Callithrix jacchus: one gene and its partners. The protein of the gene in region 2 interacts with the protein of the main gene of each other region in a biochemical or structural test. Links are inferred from orthologs where the notes say so. Each region holds a gene or a part of one and is shown on either strand. Other genes may lie near its edges. The genes, in order: LPL, LRP1 and APBB1.

The links.
Region 1: the proteins of LRP1 (region 2) and LPL form a complex in vitro, tested with the Homo sapiens proteins (3 studies listed by BioGRID). The link is inferred for Callithrix jacchus from reciprocal best matches to the Homo sapiens genes LRP1 and LPL.
Region 3: the proteins of LRP1 (region 2) and APBB1 form a complex in vitro, tested with the Homo sapiens proteins (2 studies listed by BioGRID and IntAct, with this or other methods). The link is inferred for Callithrix jacchus from reciprocal best matches to the Homo sapiens genes LRP1 and APBB1.

What each region holds. Positions count from the first base shown.
Region 1 is NC_133514.1:21,538,511-21,544,937, forward strand, and holds part of LPL (lipoprotein lipase), read right to left. Parts: intron 6,176-6,427; coding exon 6,015-6,175; intron 2,741-6,014; coding exon 2,561-2,740; intron 902-2,560; coding exon 790-901; intron 115-789; coding exon 1-114. UniProt on the Homo sapiens protein: Key enzyme in triglyceride metabolism.
Region 2 is NC_133510.1:62,495,151-62,501,180, forward strand, and holds part of LRP1 (prolow-density lipoprotein receptor-related protein 1), read right to left. Parts: intron 5,988-6,030; coding exon 5,853-5,987; intron 5,781-5,852; coding exon 5,661-5,780; intron 4,903-5,660; coding exon 4,634-4,902; intron 3,743-4,633; coding exon 3,564-3,742; intron 3,112-3,563; coding exon 3,005-3,111; intron 2,739-3,004; coding exon 2,622-2,738; intron 2,167-2,621; coding exon 1,990-2,166; intron 1,829-1,989; coding exon 1,688-1,828; intron 1,550-1,687; coding exon 1,376-1,549; intron 1,143-1,375; coding exon 981-1,142; intron 708-980; coding exon 533-707; intron 402-532; coding exon 300-401; intron 140-299; coding exon 75-139; intron 1-74. UniProt on the Homo sapiens protein: Endocytic receptor involved in endocytosis and in phagocytosis of apoptotic cells. Required for early embryonic development. Involved in cellular lipid homeostasis.
Region 3 is NC_133511.1:72,102,558-72,109,730, forward strand, and holds the start of APBB1 (amyloid beta precursor protein binding family B member 1), read right to left. Parts: upstream 4,717-7,173; 5' UTR 4,608-4,716; intron 1-4,607. UniProt on the Homo sapiens protein: Transcription coregulator that can have both coactivator and corepressor functions. Adapter protein that forms a transcriptionally active complex with the gamma-secretase-derived amyloid precursor protein (APP) intracellular domain.

The DNA of each region.
Region 1 (6,427 bases), on a different chromosome or scaffold from region 2:
GGCCAGGGGACCCTCTAGTGAATGTATGTAAGACGTCTACAAAATCTGCATCATCAGGAGAAAGGCGACTCGGGGCTTCTGCATACTCAAAGTTAGGTCCAGCTGGATCGAGGCCTTAAAAGGGAAAAAACAGGCCCACAGATCTTTAAATCTCCATTCGTATGACATTAGCATGTCACTACTCATCATTTGAATGTACTGGCAGCTATTTAGATTCTTCTTAGCTCCTATTCTGCAGTCACTGGATCTTTACATTCCTAGAGATCCATAAAAGGAGGCTTGGCTCCTTCTAAAATGAATTTGAGTCTCTTAAACTAGCCTTACACAGTGATTTTCACTCAGGATGGCTGGATTTCCTTTTGTGGATTATTTCTCAATCTGTTGAGAAGATGTCTAAACAGAAGTGGGTTATTCGTCTTTGTGTGGATGCCACACCTTTGCATAGATTCTTTCCAAGTGGCTTTGATATTGGTCCTTTTTCTTGTCTCCTAGTACAGATGTGCCTTACACTACTAAAACAGAGAGCTGAGGAAAAATGCTTCCCAGAGAAATCTGCAAGAATTGTGTGTAATTCTGCTTTATTTCAGTGCTGTTGCCAGTGGACGGTAAGCCCGTCAGAGCATCTATATGTTTTCTTATCTGTAATAAAGAGCCCTACAATGAGATAATCAAGTGCTGGGCATAGCTACTGGAAGAACACTGCAGATTTAAGAAAATTTGTTCTGATTCTCTCTCAGAATGACAGTCTTCTCCACTCTTATAATAAGACCAGTGAAATTACTTAATTACCAGTAATTCTGTTGACTTTTCTATTGGTCAGACTTCCTGCAATGCCAGCAGCATGAGCTCCAAGGCTGTATCCCAAGAGATGGACATTGTCCAGAGGGTAGTTAAATTCCTCCTTTGGAAGAGAAAAAGAAAACGAAGGTCCTTATAGTTCTGCCAAAAATCAAAACTTAAAGAAACAAAATGAATATAAATATTGTTTTCAAACTATAGGAAATACTGAAAACTAATTCTACTTATTTTAATTTTGTGTTACAGGTAAGAGAGAAGATATTGCCTAGTGTTGCAATTTTCTCTTTTTTTTTTCACTTTTGCATAAACAAATCCAGTATAGATTTTCTCTTTCTTTAATAACAGATTTAAATTACAAAGGCTTTCCAAGCATCTGAAATAGCATTATTTATTATGTAATATATCTATACATATTTGTATATGTGTATGCATTTGCATATATAACCATATACTCTATGTACAAACATATACACATTTGTATGCATGTATGTGTATGTGTATATGTTTGTGTATGTAGTATATGGGTATGTATTTTCCCATCATTCCCTACTCTAAATACCTGTATCACTTTATCACGGAAGGTTAGCCAAGCAATGATAGACTCAGGAAACATTACAGTAGGAAGGATCAGAGACACATGGTCCAGCCCCTCATTTAACTGGTGAGAAGCCTGAGCCCCAGAAAGGTGATCCCATTTGCCGGTGTTCATTTGCCTGGTCAGCAAAAGAACCAAGAAAAGAACTTTTGTCCTTTGATGGCCAGTCTAATAAATACAGCTTATTTTTACTTCCAACTACCTGGTTAAAATAATTTGCCTCTGTCAGAGTATTCGCTTCCTTCCAACCCCAGCATACTTTTTTTTTTTTTTTTTTTTGAGACGGAGTTTCACTCCTGTTACCCAGGCTGGAGTGCAATGGTGTGATCTCGGCTCACCACAGCCTCCGCCTCCTGGGTTCAGGCAATTCTCCTGCCTCAGCCTCCTGAGTAGCTGGGATTACAGGTACGCGCCACCATGCCCAGCTAATTTTTTGTACTTTTAGTAGAGACGGGGTCTCACCATGTTGACCAGGATGGTCTCGATCTCTTGGCCTCGTGATCCACCCGCCTTGGCCTCCCAAAGTGCTAGGATTACAGGCTTGAGCCACCACGCCCGGCCTCCCAGCATACTTTTTAGAGGTACTTTTTAGGGAATGGTCTGAAAAAGTGGATCTCTTGCAGCTAAGTCAGAACTCTCGACCTCAGTTCCCTTCTATCCTATGCACCTTCCCTTCCAACATCTTCCTAGCTCCATTACATCACTTTCTAATGCTCAAAAAAAAATATTCATCCTTATTCCACACTAAAGAATAAATACTAATGTTTTCATAGAAGAGATTGGTATATCAAGGCGAGGATAAAATGTCCACAGGCCAGCCAACTGGTGGGGAAGGATTTGGCGGGACATACCATCTTTCCTTTGTCCTGAAATCACAAGCTTTTGTCTGTTGGGCCCACTTAGTTCTTGATCTCAGCAGATCTATTCACTATGAAAATATCAAACAATAGAGCACTGTAGGACTATTATTGTCCTTATAGACTGTTCTTATCAAAATGGTGCTTTTGGCTATAAAATAATACCCATGTTCATTCTGAAGTTCTGAATTGACCCTAGAAAATATTTATATCTTTATATCTAAGAGAAAAAGAAGAAAGAACAGCCATTTGTCTGGTTCCAGTCAACAACATTGTTTTGGACACATAAGTCTTCTTCTCCCAGTCTTACCTCCATCCAGTTGATAAACCTGGCCACATCTTGTCCCACCAGCTTGGTGTAGCCCGCAGACACTGGATAATGTTGCTGAGCCCGTGACAGCCAGTCCACCACGATGACGTTGGAGTCTGGTTCTCTCTTGTACAGGGCGGCTACAAGTTTTGGTACCCAACTCTCATACATTCCTGTTACCTGAAGACGATGACACAGTTTTCTTAAAATACCACCTACCACTTGTCATAGATATGTCAGCCTAATACACCTGCATGAGATGGAAAAAACAAACTTGGAAGTCCACTGGCACAGATAGAAAAATCAAATACCGGAAGAGTGTTCATACAGGTCTGTCCCTTCCAAAGCAGATCTAAGTACAGCAGGAAGGGATGGGTTGAGTTGAGGAACAGCAGATTGGAGTTCACCATGCTTTCCATTTTAAAAGTATATTTTAGACATTCAGTAAACTTTTGATTGTTTATACTATTAGAAGGAAAGATATGTCTGAATGCAAAATGGGTCTTTGAGGAAACTAGCAGGAGCTCCTGACTGGGAACAGAACCCTGAGGAATCGCTCCTACCCCACTCACCTTCTCCTCCCTACCTATCTCACCTTCTCAAGGTTGGGGCATTGGGTACCCTTTGTAGTTGACTTTCAGGATCAAGATAAGATGTAATTTCTTCAGAATATAATGTTCATGGCTCCCTGTTTTAGCCAGGGTCTCCGACTTCACAATGGAAACCCTGTACTTAAAGCCAGTGTCATCCAGGCAAGTGGCAAAGCTGCAGGACAGCTGTGTCTAAGCAGCAGGCTGGAATGTATCGCATGCATGCTGCATGCTAAGAGTTCTTTCAGGTCTCTAGTGACACAACTAGAGAGCCTCCTTGTCGCCCTTAGTCTGTGCCCTTGAGTCCCCAGGCAGCCTTTTTCAGATAAAGCAAGAAAATCTTGGTTAACTCTAGGTCCTGTTATAAGTTTTTCTGTATTACCAGCATTTGTTTCTTTTTTTCTTTTCTTTTCTTTTCTTTTTTTTTTTTTTTTTTGAAGCAGAGGCTCACTGTCTCCCCTAGGCTAGAGTGCAATGGCACAATCTCAACTCACTGCAACCTCCACCTCCTTGGTTCAAGTGATTCTCCTGCCTCTACCTCCTGAGTAGCTTGGACTACTACACACACACCACCACACCTGGCTAATTTTCTTGCATTTTTTTTTTTTTAGTAGAGATGGGGTTTCACCATGTTGGCCAGGCTGGTCTTGAACTCCGGAACTCCAGTGATCTGCCTGCCTTGGCCTCCCAAAGTGCTGGGATTATAGGCGTGAGCCACCGTGCCCAGCTCAGTGTTTCTACATTAAGCAATCTAAAAGGGCTGGCCATCCGACTTACTCCTATAGTGGCTGACACCTTTATTAACTGCACACCAACTAATTGAATCCTTTATATCTGATGAACATAAAACACTGATGGAAGTAACCCCAAACAAAGTGAGTGAAAAATCTAAGTACTCACCTTCGGCAACTCAAAAAGGGTTTTATTTTCTAAGTCCTTTCAGTCTGAGCTTTTCTTCTGAGGTTCAGTAATTACTATGTTTTAAATCTTTGGTTTTCAGACACGCAGCTGAACTGAAGCCCTCCCTGCCACCTGTACAAGGTGGGCCACCTGACCCTGCCAGTGAGTTCACTGAGATAAGCCAAGATCAGCGTGGCTGGCTTAATTCTTGCACAGACCCAACTCAGTCCCACAGCCAGACACCAGTCTCTGGGCTCAGGCACTCAAAGTGTCAGGACGCAGGATATGAAAGATGCAGGTGGGCTTAGTGGGGCTGTAGGACCGATGATAGAAGTGGCACCATCTGTTGATATTGGGTTGGTGATGTCATCTTAGTATAAAAAACAAATATGTTTTTCCACAACTTCCCAAGTCTCTCAGGGATAAGATTGAGATGTCTGAGACATTCAGTTTATTTCTGTTGTATAAATGTGTTTATTAAGCTCAAAATTTTTGAAAAGTATTCAAAGCCAAGTTCTGTATATAACCAAAGTGCCTCTACAGATTCCTTTTTCTGGGCCAGACAGAGTGGCTCATGCCTATAATCCCAACACTTTGGGAGGCCGAGGTGGGTGGATCATTTGAGGTCAGGAGTTCAAGACCAGCCTGGCCAACAGGGTGAAACTCCACTTCTACTAAAAATACAAAATTAGCCAGGTGTGGTGGCAGGCACCTGTAGTCCCAGCTACTCAGGAGGCTAAGGCAGGAGAATCGCTTGAACCTGGGAGGTGGAGGTTGCAGTGAGCCAAGATCAGCCACTGCACTCTAGACTGGGCAAGCAAGTGAGACTCCATCTCAATAAAAAATTTTTTTTTCCTACTTACACTTTTTAAAATATAAAAGGATTTATGTTTAGGAATTTGAGCTTTTATCATAAAATATTGAATTTACTATGTTAACACTAGTAAATGGGTATACTTTATTAAACATCAGTATGAATTCTGTTAGTAGCAGTCTTCACCTCTATAAAAATTATAGCAGTTTTCCTCTTCAGTCAGTAACAAAGGCATTTAAATTATGTAGGGAAAGAAATGTGGACTAGATCAATCTTATTTTTAGCTAGTTCTTCTCACTAGAAATTAGTATGATAATATTCACAAGCTCTGACATAATGCATAGATAATATATCCTTAGCAATCCATTTTACATAAATCCTTTTAAATAAGTAACAATCTACTCGGGATTGAAAAATTTTAAAACAAACTTAGCAAGGACTACATATGTAAAGTGACATATTTAGAGAGGAGACTTTTATCAATATTTTTTAAATGTAAATTTAATCACACTTTCACTTTTTCTAATCATCTGGCATTTCCCAGCTCTTTTTGTTTAATTTCTAGAAAAGCTCCCTAAAGTTTACACCTGAAAAGTTCTGGAAGTAGAGTGTCCTAAGATATATCTAGTACAGTCTCTGCTTTATGGATCAGTAAATGGAGGCCCAGAGATGATAAGTGACTTGACCCACTGTGCAGAGCTGGAGAATGGCAAAGCCAGCACAGACCCCATACTTTCTCACTCCACTCCAGCCCTCTCCTCACTCTTCCAGACTGTCTTCTTTAGAAAGGTTCTCCTGGCAATGTGCTGGATGATGCAGGATCATGCCAGGATTCCACCAGTTCCCCACAGCAATCACCTATCTTCTGCTCTGTGGCTGGGCAGAGCACCATTTTTCCACCTCCCAGGAAGCTCTGGCTCAAGGACACCAACCAGGTACAGTGTTACGATGAAGGCTGGCACTGCCTAGGGGGAGTTCTCATGAACCTGTGGCTTCAGATCCCACATGAGCCAGAACCGTATTCAAGTGTAAAGGAGAGCCATGAGAGATATGGGGTGTGAACCCATCACTGGGTCCCCAACAACTAGGGCAGGCCCATCAGGATACCTGGTCAACCCCAATCCAGTCTTCCACAAAGAGCCTCCCTTACCGTCCAGCCATGGATCACCATGAAGGTTTTGCTGCTGTGATTGAAGTGGCAGGTAGCCACAGACTCTGCTATTCCAGGAATGAGGTGGCAAGTGTCCTCAGCTGTGTCTTCAGGGGTCCTTAGGGCAAATTTGCTTTCAATGTCTATAAAATCTCTTCTGCCTGTAAAGAAAAAAATTGGATATGAGGTTAACTGGACAGTTGCTTGGTGTTATTTGTTGGAATGGTATGTTTTAGGTTCAGAGGCAACCACCGCTGATGCTATTTTTGTTTCTGAAGTTTTTTCAAAAACAAATGTGGATTTCAAGAGAACAGATCCCCCAGCGTTGATCAAAGTTGACAGAGAGACAGCCTTAACTCTGAGCCAAGATTGTCACAAGTCTTCCAGCCTCTCCTGTAGCTCTCCTCAGTCAG
Region 2 (6,030 bases):
CAGGGAAGCAGGAGGCACACGGTCCCCCTGATCTAGGTTCCGGCGGCCCTGCCTGCCCCACCCCTGCCACCTACGTCCTGGCTGCTGCTGGCTGAAGACATGCTCCTCACACCGGGGCCCTGTCATGTGGGGCGGGCACCTGCAGAAAGGAGGGACATGGCTGAGTAGGCATAACTTCCATAGCCACTGCTGCCAGGGAGACAGGGCATGGAGGGTGGGCGCTGAGGCCCGGCAGTCCTGCTCAGATCTGGGGAAGGGAGGGATGCTCTATGCCTGGGTGAAGCCCAGGCCCAACTCACTGGCACTCAGGCATCATTTTGCTGTTCATGGTGCAGGAGCCGCCATTGCTGCAGTGGCCAACACAGGTGAGACAGCTGGGGGCCACCCGGCCGTCTGTGCAGCTGTAGGAGGAAATCAGAGGCTGGGGCTGGGGCTGGCAGAGGTGTGTGTGGGATGCTGAGGAAGGGCTGGGCAGGACTGGGACAGGGCAGGGGCCGGGCGGGGTGGACCTGTGGAGGAGAGCCCCACTCACTTGCAGGTGACATCCCCACTCTGCTTATTGACAACACAGGCTCCTTCAAGACAGCGGCTGCACTTGTTCACCTCACACCTCGGCCCCTCGAAGTAGGCAGTGCAGCGGCATTGTCGGGAGCCATCGGCGGCCATCTGGCAGGTGCCAAAGTTCTCACAGTAGCCAGAGCACTGCCCTGTGGTTGGCAAGGGAGAGGAAGTCAGGCCCCACCCTCATACGGGTTCTATATACGTTGAGCACAGCTTTTCTCTCTGGATAATCCTGGTGCTGGGGGTGCACTGCATCTTTGTGGGGAAGCGCCAGCCACATGGGCCTGGCTCAGCTGCAAAAGGCCTGCCTTCCTGAACTGGCCCCTGTGGGTCCCAGGCACAGGTGGACCATTACCCCATGCTCTGGGGTCCTCCGTCACCCTCCTGCCTGCCTTGGGGCCCAGGGATGGCTCACTCACGGTACTGGCAGCGGTCGCCCAGGAAGCCAGGTAGGCATCGGCACTGGGGCTGGTTGCCCTGGTTGACGGTGCAGGTGCTGTTGTTGGCACAGTAGCCTGCACACACCTGCTGGGTGCATTTGGGGCCCGTGAAGCCCGTGGGGCACCGGCACGTGGGCATGCCTGGTGGGAGAAAATATGTGAGTGGGACTGTGGCCCTCGGGATCACCTGGCCCTACAGCAGAAGAATGGATTGGACCCGGGCGGGAGGCAGAGTCCGGAGTGCCTGGACGCTGGGTTGTGGAGAGGAGACTAGAGGTGAGGCAGGAGCTGGGCATCTGCCTGAGGTGGGGCAGCGGGTGGTGGGGCTGGGGCCCAGGGGCAAGGAGCAGGCTTGGCGGCATGAGGGGGCATACCAGAGGGGGAGGCAGCGCAGGTGCCCCCATTACGACAGTGCTCCCAGCACTGGTCCAGTTCGCACTTGTCACCTGTGTAGCGGGGCTGGCAGCGGCACTTGGGCTGCCTCCGTGCATTGAGGAAACAGCTGCCGCCGTTGAAACACTGCAGGTTACAGGTTCCAGGCCGGGAAGCTGCAGGATAGGCCAGTCAGGCGGCAGAGCCAGGGGAATAGGAGGGGAGGAATGGGCAACAAGGACAGGAGAAGTCAGGTGCCACAGGAACGAGTGGGTCCTGAGGCACGGCTGGGGACTGGGAGGGCATGAGCGTACCATCTGGGGGGGGTGTTGGAGAGGGCACAGGCATGCAGGTGCCGTTGTCCAGCCGCTTCCCATTGGGACAGGTGCAGACAGGTCCACTGGGGCTCAGCAGGCAGAGCCACTCACATTTCTTGCGGTCACATGGGTTAGTCACTGCAGGTATGGGTGGGGTGGGGAGTATGCTGAGCAGGACCTTTCTCTGAGGCCTGTGAGCCCAGGATTACCCCTCCCCACCAGGTCCCAAGGCCACAGCTTGGAGACTCAATGCCTATAAGCCTCCACTTCCCCAGCTAAGGCTCTCCCTCCACCCCTACCTTCAGGCTGCTTGTGCTGATGGTACAGGACCACGTCAGAGGCATGGCTCAGGGCCCCGGTCAGGTTGACCAAGGGGCTGTGGCCAAACTTATGGATCTTGAAGACACGATTATTGATGTAGGTGACACCATAGATGTAATCCTCAAAGACGTCGATGCTGAAGGGGTGACTTAGGCCTGGGGGAGGAGGTGGAGTCAGAGGGGACCCAAGGGTCACTCAGGCCCTGGCCACGCTGTCCATGACACTGGCACCTGTGGCTCCCAGACACCTCAAACTCAACAAATCCAGACCAAATTCCCCTCCCTGCACCTGTTCCTGCTCCTGTGGTCACCACTGGCAAAAGGTCCCATCACCCCCAGACTTCTGGGGTCATGGCTGACTTCTGTTCCCTCTCCCCTCATTTGCTAAGTTCCTAATGTACCTATGCTGCCTCCACACAACCCAACCAATGAATGGACAAGTAGGCCAGAGGGTCAGGGTGGGCCTCAGGCCTGACTCAGGGGGAGCCCAGCTGGAGAGGCCTGGAAGGTACTACAGTATCAGTGACAAAGGATGGGAGGCATTGAAATGGGGCCTTTGGCTTGGTAGGGAGGATGGCAGGGCTGAGGACAGGCTGCTGTCGGGATCTGACCTCGTTTGCTGTCCGCAGCCACAATGGGGTCCGTGCCATTGAGCCGGATGCTGCCGATGACTGAAAGCTTGGCATCTGCCCAGTATAGCCGCTCATTGTGATAATCCACAGCCAGGCCTGGGAGGCAGAGAGCACTGTGAGGCTTGACCTCCTGTCCCCAGGCTGGGGGTGGAAAGCAGAACTGCCTCTATGCTTGGGACAACTCCACCCTGTTCACACGTCACTCACAGTTGCCTCTTCCGGAAAAGCCGCTGCAGCCTATCCACCCGTCCCAGTCCAAGCCCCATCCTATCCCTCGACTTTGTGTGACTTCAGCAGCAGCTAGGCTCTGTGAGCCGGGCCCCTCCACACCCCTGCCCCTCCCACACTCTGTCCCCACAAACCTGTGGGCCACTGAATGTTGTCCTGCACCAGTGTCTCCCGGAGGGTTCCATCCATCGCCGCCGTCTCAATCTTGGGGTGGTTGCCCCAGTCTGACCAGTACATGGTGCTGGGGAGGGAGAAGGGGTGAGTGTGGGCAGGCCCAGGCGGGACACCAGCTTGCTTGTCTGGGTATAGGGACTACTGGGGACTGGGAGGAGGGCGTTCTGTCCTCCTACAGAGAGGCAGGAGGGAATCTGCATTCCAGCAGGTTGAGGGGCTTTTCCTTTAAAGCTACAGTGTGCTCATTCAGAGCCACAGATGCTGGCACAGCGAGGCTGCTCATGACAACCAGCCAAGCAGAGGTCAGGTCCCGGCCCGAGCAGGCCTAGCTGGGGGCCCCAGGCAGAGGCAGCATGGGGCGGGCCAGGCAGGGGTGGCCAAGAAGGCCCAAGGGCCTGAGAAGGACTGTCCTCAGGCTGGCCTGGGAGGGAAGGGCACGCCTGTGGGTGCAGCCCCCGACTCCGTCCCAGAGGCTTCCTACCACCAGCCCAGAGGCCTCCCTCCAGGGCCCTTGCCCACCCCCTCAGTGGGTCCACCACAATGGCGTGGGGCTCATCAATCATGCCCGAGATGAGCGTCTTGCGGTTCTCGCCCTTCATCTGTGCCACTTCAATCACATCTCGGCCCGAATCGGTCCAATACACGTTCCCGGCCACCCAGTCGATGGCAATGCCTCTGGGCATCTTCAGCCCTGAAATCTGAATGGAAGCCACAGGTTCAGGGACCACCGATTTGTCTTCCCGACATTACCCCCACTACCACTCTGCCAGCCTGTCCCTGCTGGAACGTCACCCCAGGCTCACAGCCAGTTCCCTGGCTTTAAAGAGATTCAACTGGCACGGAGCTTATGTGCAGAACTGCAGCTCTCACAAGTGGCTGGTGAGCCCTCCCTGAAGCCTGAACGATGGCAATGATCATCTGATTTTATTGGTAGACAAAGTGACACCGAAAGACGTTAAATGAGTCAGCTAGGATGTATATGGCGGGTGGTGGCAATGATGGGGGACCGGTGCCAGGGGACTGTCTGCCTGCCCCTCGTGCCCTGGGCTGCCTGCAGCAGAGCCAGCTGCTGACCATTCCCACTGCTCTGTTTTCCCACTGGCCATGCCTGGAACACAATCCTGAGATTGCCCTGCCCCACTCTCACCCTCTGCCCCTCGCACCGACAGCCCTTTCCTATCTTTCTTTCTTTCTTTCTTTCTTTTTTTTTTTTATTGTGATAGCGTCTCTCTCTCTACTGCCCAGGCTGGAGTGCAATGGCGAGATCTTGGCTCAATGCAACCTCCACCTCCTGGGTTCAAGGAATTCTCCTGCCTCAGCCTCCCAAGTATCTGAGACTACAGGCACCTGCCACCATGCCTGGCTAATTTTTTTTTTCTTCTTTCTACACACTCCTGGTAAAGCCTGGCTAATTTTTGTATTTTTAATACAGACGGGGTGTCACCATGTTGCCAGGCTGGTCTCGATTCAGGCTGGGATTACAGGTGTGAACCACCTTGCCCAGCCATCACTGCCCTTTTCAAATCCTGCTCTGAACCGCATGCTCTATGGGGTGCTTCCACTCCATCCACACCAGGTTGGGCACTCACGTTGAGGTGGGTGACACCCCGGTCAATCTGTCGCCGGTGGCGGTTGGAAGTGGTAGGAGGCGCAGCAGGTGGCAGGCTGCGGTAGGAGATGGTGCCCGTGTGCCAGTTGGTCCAATAGACGCGGCCAGCCTTCACATGGACATCCATGGCATCGATGCGGACACTCTCATCACCCTGGAATGCCTGCTCGTAAGCTGAATGGGGGTGCCCAGGGAAAAGGCTACGGATCTCATTGTCATCTGCGATGTACAGGACCTGGTACTCAGAACCTGGAGAAACAAGAGGCCAGGGCTGGGGCTGTGGGATGGAGATGTGCACTGCACCCAGCTCAGCTCCTTTCACACGAGCAGTGTCCTCTCTCCTGGTGGGACCGTCTGCTCTGGCCAGAAGCTGATGCTTACCCTCCCCGCTTGGGGTTTCGGGCTCCCCAGCCACACCTCTGGACCTCCTCCACTCCTCCCCTGAGCTCATCTACTGCAACCTGCTCCTTTCAGCCAGAAAACAGCCTCTGGATGGCATCTGGTACAGACTGCCTGGCACATGCTTGGGGGTGTGTAGGCATGTGGGGTGTGTGTGCTTGACATGGAGCGTGTGGGTGTGCATGGTGGGAGTGTGCGTGTATGGTATGTGTGTGCAGGGGTGTGTGTGAATGTTCACAGGTATGTACAAGGCACAGGTGGGTGTCAAAGCATGTGGGGAATATGCAGGTGAGGCCCCACGACTGAGTGTGCAATGCATGTCTGAGTGTGCTCTTGGCCCCGGGGGTGATGGGTGAGGAGGCGTGTGTAACTCAGAGCACTGCGGCACCCCAGACTCCTTCAGTGAGCTGGCCCCAGGACCTGCCCCTCTGCTCGGGCCAGCCCTGTGCCCAGGCAGGTGCCCCTAGGAGTCTCGAGCTTCCTATCTGGGCAAGGTGTCCGCAGGAAGATATTCCATTCCAAGTCGGCCCCATTTGCTATCCTGGCCGCCTGTCCCCCCGCTCCCCCCACTCCCCCCAAGCCTTTCTGCCCTCCGGCAGCTGCGGCACCTTCAGCCTTGCAGGTGTTGTGCGTCTTCATGAAGTTCCGAGCGCAGCTGCAGAGGTGGCCACCCTTGGTGTTGTTGCAGAGCTGTGAGCAGGTGCCGAAGCGCAAGCACTCGTTGATGTCTGGGGGTTACAGGGAAGGTCATGGAGGTCCACGGCTGGGGTGTCCACCCCCATTCCGCTCTGCTTTCCTACCTTGGCATCCAGGCTGGCCGGGCACGGTGTGGAAGCCCGAGCGGCAGGCACAGTAGGCTGCTTTCTCGGTGCGCACGCAGCGCGCCTCGTCCCCACAGATGCTGGCATTGGCGGTACAGCTGGTCAGCTTGGGGTCTGTGGGGGACAGAGAGTGGATGCCCCCCGCCCAAGCCATCCC
Region 3 (7,173 bases), on a different chromosome or scaffold from region 2:
GAAGCTCAGAACTGGCTGGGAATAGGTACCAAGAAAGGCTGTGTGGCCCAGTGGGCTGGGGAGGAGCAAAGAGTGTGTTTGGGAGGGTGTCAGAGAATGCCAAAGAGTCCCTGAAAGGGAAGTAAGATGGGACAGGAGTTCTGGAGAGGTGAGGGCTGAGATCTAGGAAAACGGAGGGAGAGCGGTAGCTTAAACCAACATCTTGGCTCAGACACTGTTCAAGAGTGGCATCTCCATGGGTTTCAGGAAGTAGAAGACTCTGCCATGCTCAGAGGACCTTAAGGATGGCAGGCCCTTCTCTGAAGCAGTGGTGTAGAGAGCCAGGTTTCTCAAAGGTCGGGCTGAGACCAACCTCCTTGGCACTAGGAGATATGCTCTGAGAACGGTGCATAGGCTGTGAGGCTGAAAGAGTGAAGAGCCAAGTTGACTGCAGGGCAACCCCGCCAATCTGGTCACCGGGGCAGGAAGTATTAGAGGAGGATTGGGGAAACTCTGTTTAAGTGCTGAAACCTGAGCATCTAGCCTGAGGTAGTGTGGTCACCAATACCCCACTGCTCGAGGTCAAAAAGATAACCTCAGTCCAATTTTTTAAAAACGAAACACAACCTAACTTCTCCCCTCTCATTGGAGTTACCAAAGGATGCAAAGAGCCAAATAAGTTCTGATTCAAGGCAGGGAGCTAGGCAGGGGCCCCAGGGCAGGAACTGAAAGAAGTAGCCACTAAACCTGAAGATCCTGGTATCAGACCACAGGGGCAGGGGTTGAGTCTTGCCCAGTCAGGAGTCATGTAATCTGACAGCTTACCATATGCCAGACACTGTGCTAGACACAGGGGAGAGTGGAAATGGTTCCTCCTCTGGAGGAGTTCTCGGTTTGGGGGGAAACAGGCACTGAACAAGTCGTTATGACACAGTGTAATGCCAACATCTAGAACAGTGCCTGGCACCCACAGCATTCCCTATTTGTTGACTGAATATTATGAAGGACGAAGAGCAGGACATTATAGGAACCTGGGGTTTACTACAGCCCGGACATCAGTGAAGGCCTGCCTGAGACTAGGACACAACTCTGTGGCCCACCCCTGTCAGAGGATGGGCCCTCCTAATTCACAGAGGAGCCAGCCAACTGGGTAACATCCTCAAACATAAAATCCAACCAAACTTCAGCACCTATCCCTTTCTCTCCCAAAAACCAACGGCCTCACCTATAATTTGGATTCTTCCTAAGATGCCTTTCCAGGAATTATTTACCACTGTTTATCTATTTTCTCCTCTATAATCAACCTCTCCTTCTCAATAGGACCCACTATCTCCCAACCGAACCTGACACTCCTCCAGAGCCACTCACTGCTCTTTCCTCCCCCATACAGGGCAAACTTCTTGAGAGAGTTGTCTCACTCACTGCTGCCACTTCCTCACCTCCCACTCACTCCTCAACCCTTTCCAAACCTGCTTCCACTCCCAACACGACTCAGTAACAGCTCCCACCAAGGTCAACATGACCCCTATGTCATTCAATCCAACAGACACAGTCCTCATCTTGGGTGCCCTCCCGGCAGCATCTGACCCCCCGGATCTCTCTCAGTGGCCTCCACTCTCTCGTCTCCTGGCTTACTTTTACACTTCTCATTACTGTTTGCTGGGTTCCTAGACTCCTTTGCTGGCTCATATTCTCATGCCCCTTTCTCTTTCTCATCCTATAATTGATATAGGTATTCATTCACGTCCACGGCTTCAGTTATACACTGATGATTTCCAAATTCACATCTCCATTTCAGACCCCTCACCTGAGCTCCAGACAAGTACATTCATCTTTCTATTCAACAGCCCCACTTGGATGTCTCAAGCTAATACACCCACTGGCGTTTCCCACTCCCACACACTAACTGATCCTCTTTCAGGATTCTGGCTCATGGAATGATACAACCCATCCTATTCCGTGAATCTGAAGTAGGGGCACATCCTTGACATGTCCTTCTCCTGCACTCCCTATGTTCAATCCATCCCTCTGATAATTTCCTCTCCAAGAAAAATTTCTAGACTTCATTGACTCTCCACATCCACTACCATCAAGGACAAAGACCTTAAGACAAAATTCTTTTTTTTCTTTTTTGAGATGGAATGGCAAGACCTCAGCTCACTGCAACCTCTGCCTTCTGGGTTTAAGCAATTCTCCTGCCTCAGCCTCCTGAGTAGCTGGGATTACAGGCACACACCACCGTGCCTGACTAATTTTTTCTACTTTCAGTAGAGATGGAGTTTTGCCATGTTGGCCAGACTGGTCTTGAACTGGTAACCTCAGGTGATCCGCCAACCTTGGACTCCCAAAGTGTAGGGATTACAGATGTGAGCCACCACACCCAGCCCTTAAGACAAAATTCTTAACGTGGCCTAAATTTCCTGCTTAGTCTGGCACCTGCCTTCCTCGTCCCTGCTCCTGGCTTTGGTCACTCTGCTCTGCAGCCTCAGTGGCCTTCTTTCTGATTCCTCAAAGACATTATGTGGTTTCTTTCTACAACGTGTTTGCACATGATTTCCATGCTGCCTGGGACCTCTTCTCCTACTCTCTAAGTTGAATTAACTTCTACTCATCCATTTTATTTTAGTTCAAAAGTCGTGTTCTCAGAGAAGCCATCCTTGACCCTCTCTCCCTATCCCCAAAACCAGTTTAGCTGCTGCTCTTGATGTTCTCAAGGCACCATACAGCTTTTCTTCATGGTATCTAGTACATTTGTAATGTTATTCTTATTTGATTTTCCTCCTAGATTGTCAGCTCCGAGGACCCAACTCTTTTGCTCACAATTATATCTTCAGGACCTAACACAGTGCCTGGCATATAGTCGCTGCTCAAATCATATGTGTTGAATGAATAAGTGATTGGAAGCACTTTTCTTTTTTTGAAACAGAGTTTTGCTCTTGTTACCCAGGCTGGAGTGAGATGGTGCGATCTTGGCTCACCGCAACCTCCGCCTCCTGGGTTTAGGCAATTCTCCTGCCTCAGCCTCCTGAGTAGCTGGGATTACAGGCATGCACCACCATGCCCAGCTAATTTTTTGTATGTTTAGTAGAGATGGGGTTTCACTATGTTGACCAGGATGGTCTTGATCTCTTGACCTTGTGATCCACCTGCCTCGGCCTCCCAAAGTGCTGGGATTAGAGGCTTGAGCCACCGCGCCCGGCCGGAAGCATTTTTTAAAGCAACACTCTGGGTGCTGTGTTGAGAATAGTTAAAGGAAGGTAGGCAAGAGGGTATGCTATTAAAGGAGTCAAGGAAAAAAAAAGGTGGTGGCTGGGATTAACTTGGGTGGCAGTGGGAAAAGAGTGAAATGAATGGATTTGAGAAATATTTAGGGAGTGGATGTGACAGAACTTAGTGAAATGAGATGCAGAAGGTGAGAGGGGGTTAATCTTGAGTCTTGCTCATGACTCCAGATTGGCAAATAGCCATTTCTGAGATTTGAAGGAAGAAGGGATTTGGAAGTAGGGTACAGAGAAAACCAGGGACAATAACTCAACTTGGAATCTATAGGTTTGGAATTCCTGTTTGTCTTTCAGGGAGATGTCAAGAGGGCAGCTGGATATATAAGTATGGATTTCAGGAAAGACGTCTGAGCTGGATACATATATTTGGGACTCATTAGCATATATATGAAATTTGAAGCTTTGGGAGTGAATAAAGTATCTGGGGAGAAAGAACAGAGAATGAAAGAAGACAGCTCGGGACAGAGCCAAGAGCCTCGCCAGCATCTAAAGAGAGAAGGAAGCAAATGAGATTGAGAAAGCAGGCAATGCTGCAGGACAGAAAGCAGGAAAATGCTTCAAGGAGAGAGAACAGACCCCACGGAATACTATTCAGAGGTAAAGAAGATAACAGCGAAGTGTCCACTGGAGTTCTCCACCAGGAGATCTCCAGTGACCTTGCCATGGACAGTTTCAGTGGGTGTCAGGGACACAGAGTGGAGTGATTTTAAGAATGAATGGGAAGTAAGGAAATGAAGACAGCAAGCGTAGACTCTGAAGGGTGGCGAGAGCTAGGACCATAGCGGGAGGGGCTCAGAATGCAAGAGATACACAGGCAGACTCAAAACAGGTTAGGAATTGGCAGTGGGAAAACTGCTCCTAATGAGTGTTCCTGCCAGTGCTAGGCCCTGGCTGAGCTGGGGACACAGCCGCCCCAGGGCACACCCCTCGGTCGCTGAGGGCAACAGAATGCCGCTTGACAGATCTGGCCTGGGATCCCTGCTGGAATCGGCGGCAGCAGCGTCCGGCCAGCCCACCCCACCCCAAGTCCCCTTCCCGGCCCTGGGCCTCCCCTCCCCCAACCCCCACCGCCCCTCGCTTCGCGTCCTCCATACCCGCCCCTAGTCACCCCGAGGGGCAGGAGGTAAAGGACAGCGTAGGGGGCGATGTGAGGACCCGAGGGGACCATGCGATGGAGGGTATGAGAGGACGGTCTACAGGCGCGCGGTGGGAGGGCGGCCCGGGGATGGGGGATGGGGCCCGGCCCGGAGACCCCGGCTACTGCGGTGAAGAGGCGTCAGGGTCCACCGGCCGCTGGGGATCGGGGCGCAGCCACCCCGGCTGGGCCGGGGCAGGGACAGCTCCTACCTGCGCGGCGAGGCCCCGGGCCCAGATGACGGAGGTGGCTCAGGCTGCGGGGTTCGGGCTTCGCCGCGGCTTCTCCATCACAACATCCCCCGCCCAGGAGCGCGCGGGCGGCGGGGCCGCGCCCCGAGCGGCGGAGGCGCGCGCAGAGGGAGGGGGAGGGGCGCCATCTTGGGGCGGGCGCGGGAGCGAGCTCGGCAGGCGCGGTACTTGCCGCAGCTTCCTGGGGGCCTCGCTCTGCAGGAGACCCTCTGCCCTCCGTGAGCCCCGCGGTCCAGCCCTCCCAGCAGAGATCCCTGCAGCCGCTTCCCTGGGACCCCTGCCTAGCGCGGCGCCGTCCTCCACTACGATGCCACAGACTCACCCTGCGCGCCCCGTAGGGCCCTGGCCCCGCACCCCCGCGGGCAGACGCGCGGACTAAGCTGGAGCCCCGGTGGCGGTGGCGGTGCGGGGACCGCGGCCGCGTCCGGAGGGATTCCGGGGAGGCAGCCTGCTCCGCTCCTGCTGCACTGCTCCCCGACGTCCTGATGGGGAGGCTCTGAGGACACAGCGTTGCTGATAATAATAGCTCCTATTTATTGACCACTTACACCGGGTCGGGCTGTGTTAAACTGCTGATGCGCATTAATCTTCACATCGGCCCTGTAAAATCACCAGTTTTATCCTCATTTTTCAGAGGCTAATGCTAAGATTAAGACAGGTAAAGCGACTTGCCCGCAGTCACAGCGACAAATTCAGACTGGAGCTTCAGTGATTCTTGACACTGAACTACCCCTGCTGCTGAGCATAAAACTGACATCAAGGCCTGGAAAATGTCAAGAATACATTTCTCCCCTGTGGAAATTCACAGGGAAGGGGAGAGTGTGAATGAAGAGTGTAAAGATGTAAAGAAAGATGGTGGGGTGCAACATTTACTACAGACCCTCCTTGGATAATAGAATACATCCTAGTGGTCAGATCAGTAAACCAGAGGCCATCAAGGATAATGAGGGGTTACATTACCATCCAGAAAGCCTCTAAATACTACCCCCTCTAAGGTGCCTAAAACTAAAGATGTCCAAATCTTCGCTCGTTCTTTATTTTTCTTTCTTTCAAGGCAGGGTCTCGCTCTATCACCCAGGCTGAAGTACAGTGGCAGGATCACGGCTTTATGAAGTCCCAACCTCCAGGGCTTAGGTGATCCTCCCACCTCAGCCCCTGGAGTACCTGGACCATAGGCACGCTCTACTGCACCTGGCTTTTTGCATTTTTAGTAGAGATAGGGTCTCACTGTGTTCTCCAGACTGGTCCAGAACTCGTGTGCTCAAGCAATCCTCCCACCTCAGCCTTGCAAAGTGCTGAGATTACAGGCATCAGCCACTCCATCTAGCTTGAATTCATTATTACATCCCCCTTCATTAGTCATCTAAGGAGTTTCTCTGGGGTGAAAAAGAAACTTCTTCAACACACACACACACACACACACCCCACAACAACAACACACATCCCACACTGGACTCCATCCATTCCAATGAATGACACCAACTACTGACTTCCCAATCCAGAACTTTCAAGGTCATTTTTGAATAGACTTTTATTTTGAGGTAAATATAAATGTTTTAACTTTTTATTATGGAAAATTTCAAATATATACTAAAGTAGACAGAACAATATAATGAATTCTCATATACCTGTCATTCAGTTTCAACAATTATCAACTCATGGCCAATCGTTTATAGTGATTTGACAAATGCCTATGATATATGAACCATGTATCAGGTCCCAAGCCAGGCCCTAGGGATCCACGGATGAATCAGATTTGACTGCATCTCACCTGGAGGAGATGACATCTGACTTGGGTTCTTGAAGGATGAGTAAGAATTACACAAAAGAACAAAGGTATCCTCATTCATTCATTCATTCGTTTTCTTTCATCAAATAATTACTATGTGTGAGGTACTGTCCTTGGTGCTAGCAGCAGGTCAAGAAACAAGATACAGTTCCATCTCTCAAACAACTTGAAATTTAACAGGGGAAAGTGACATTAAATGTGTAATTAGGAATGTGATGAATATCTTGAAGGAGATGTGTGAGTGGGCTTACACACAGGGAGCTATGTGAGTGGGCTTAATTTGTCCTGGGAGGTTTAGGAGGCTTTTATAGGAAGTGACAAGTCAGTGAGAGAAAGGGATGAAGGAGCTAGAGGTCATCAAAAAAGGAGAAGAGAAAAGTATTCTAAGTAGCAGGAGAAGTACAGGAAGGTCAGTATGGGTGTTGATATAGTTTGGATATTCATCCATGATCAAATCTCATGTTGAATTGTAATCTCCAATGCTGGTGGTTGGGCCTGGTGGGAGGTTTTCAGGTCATAGGGGTGGATCTCTCATGGCTTGGTGCTGTCTTCCCCAGGATGAGTGAGTTCTTGTGAAATCTGGTTATTTAAAAGTGTGTGGCATGGCTGGGTGTGGTGGCTCAGGACTGTAATCCCAGCACTTTGGGAGGCCAAGGCAGGCAGATCAACTGAGGTCAGGAGTTCAAGAGCAGCCTGGGCAACATGGTGAAACCCCATCTCTATTGAAATCACAAAAAA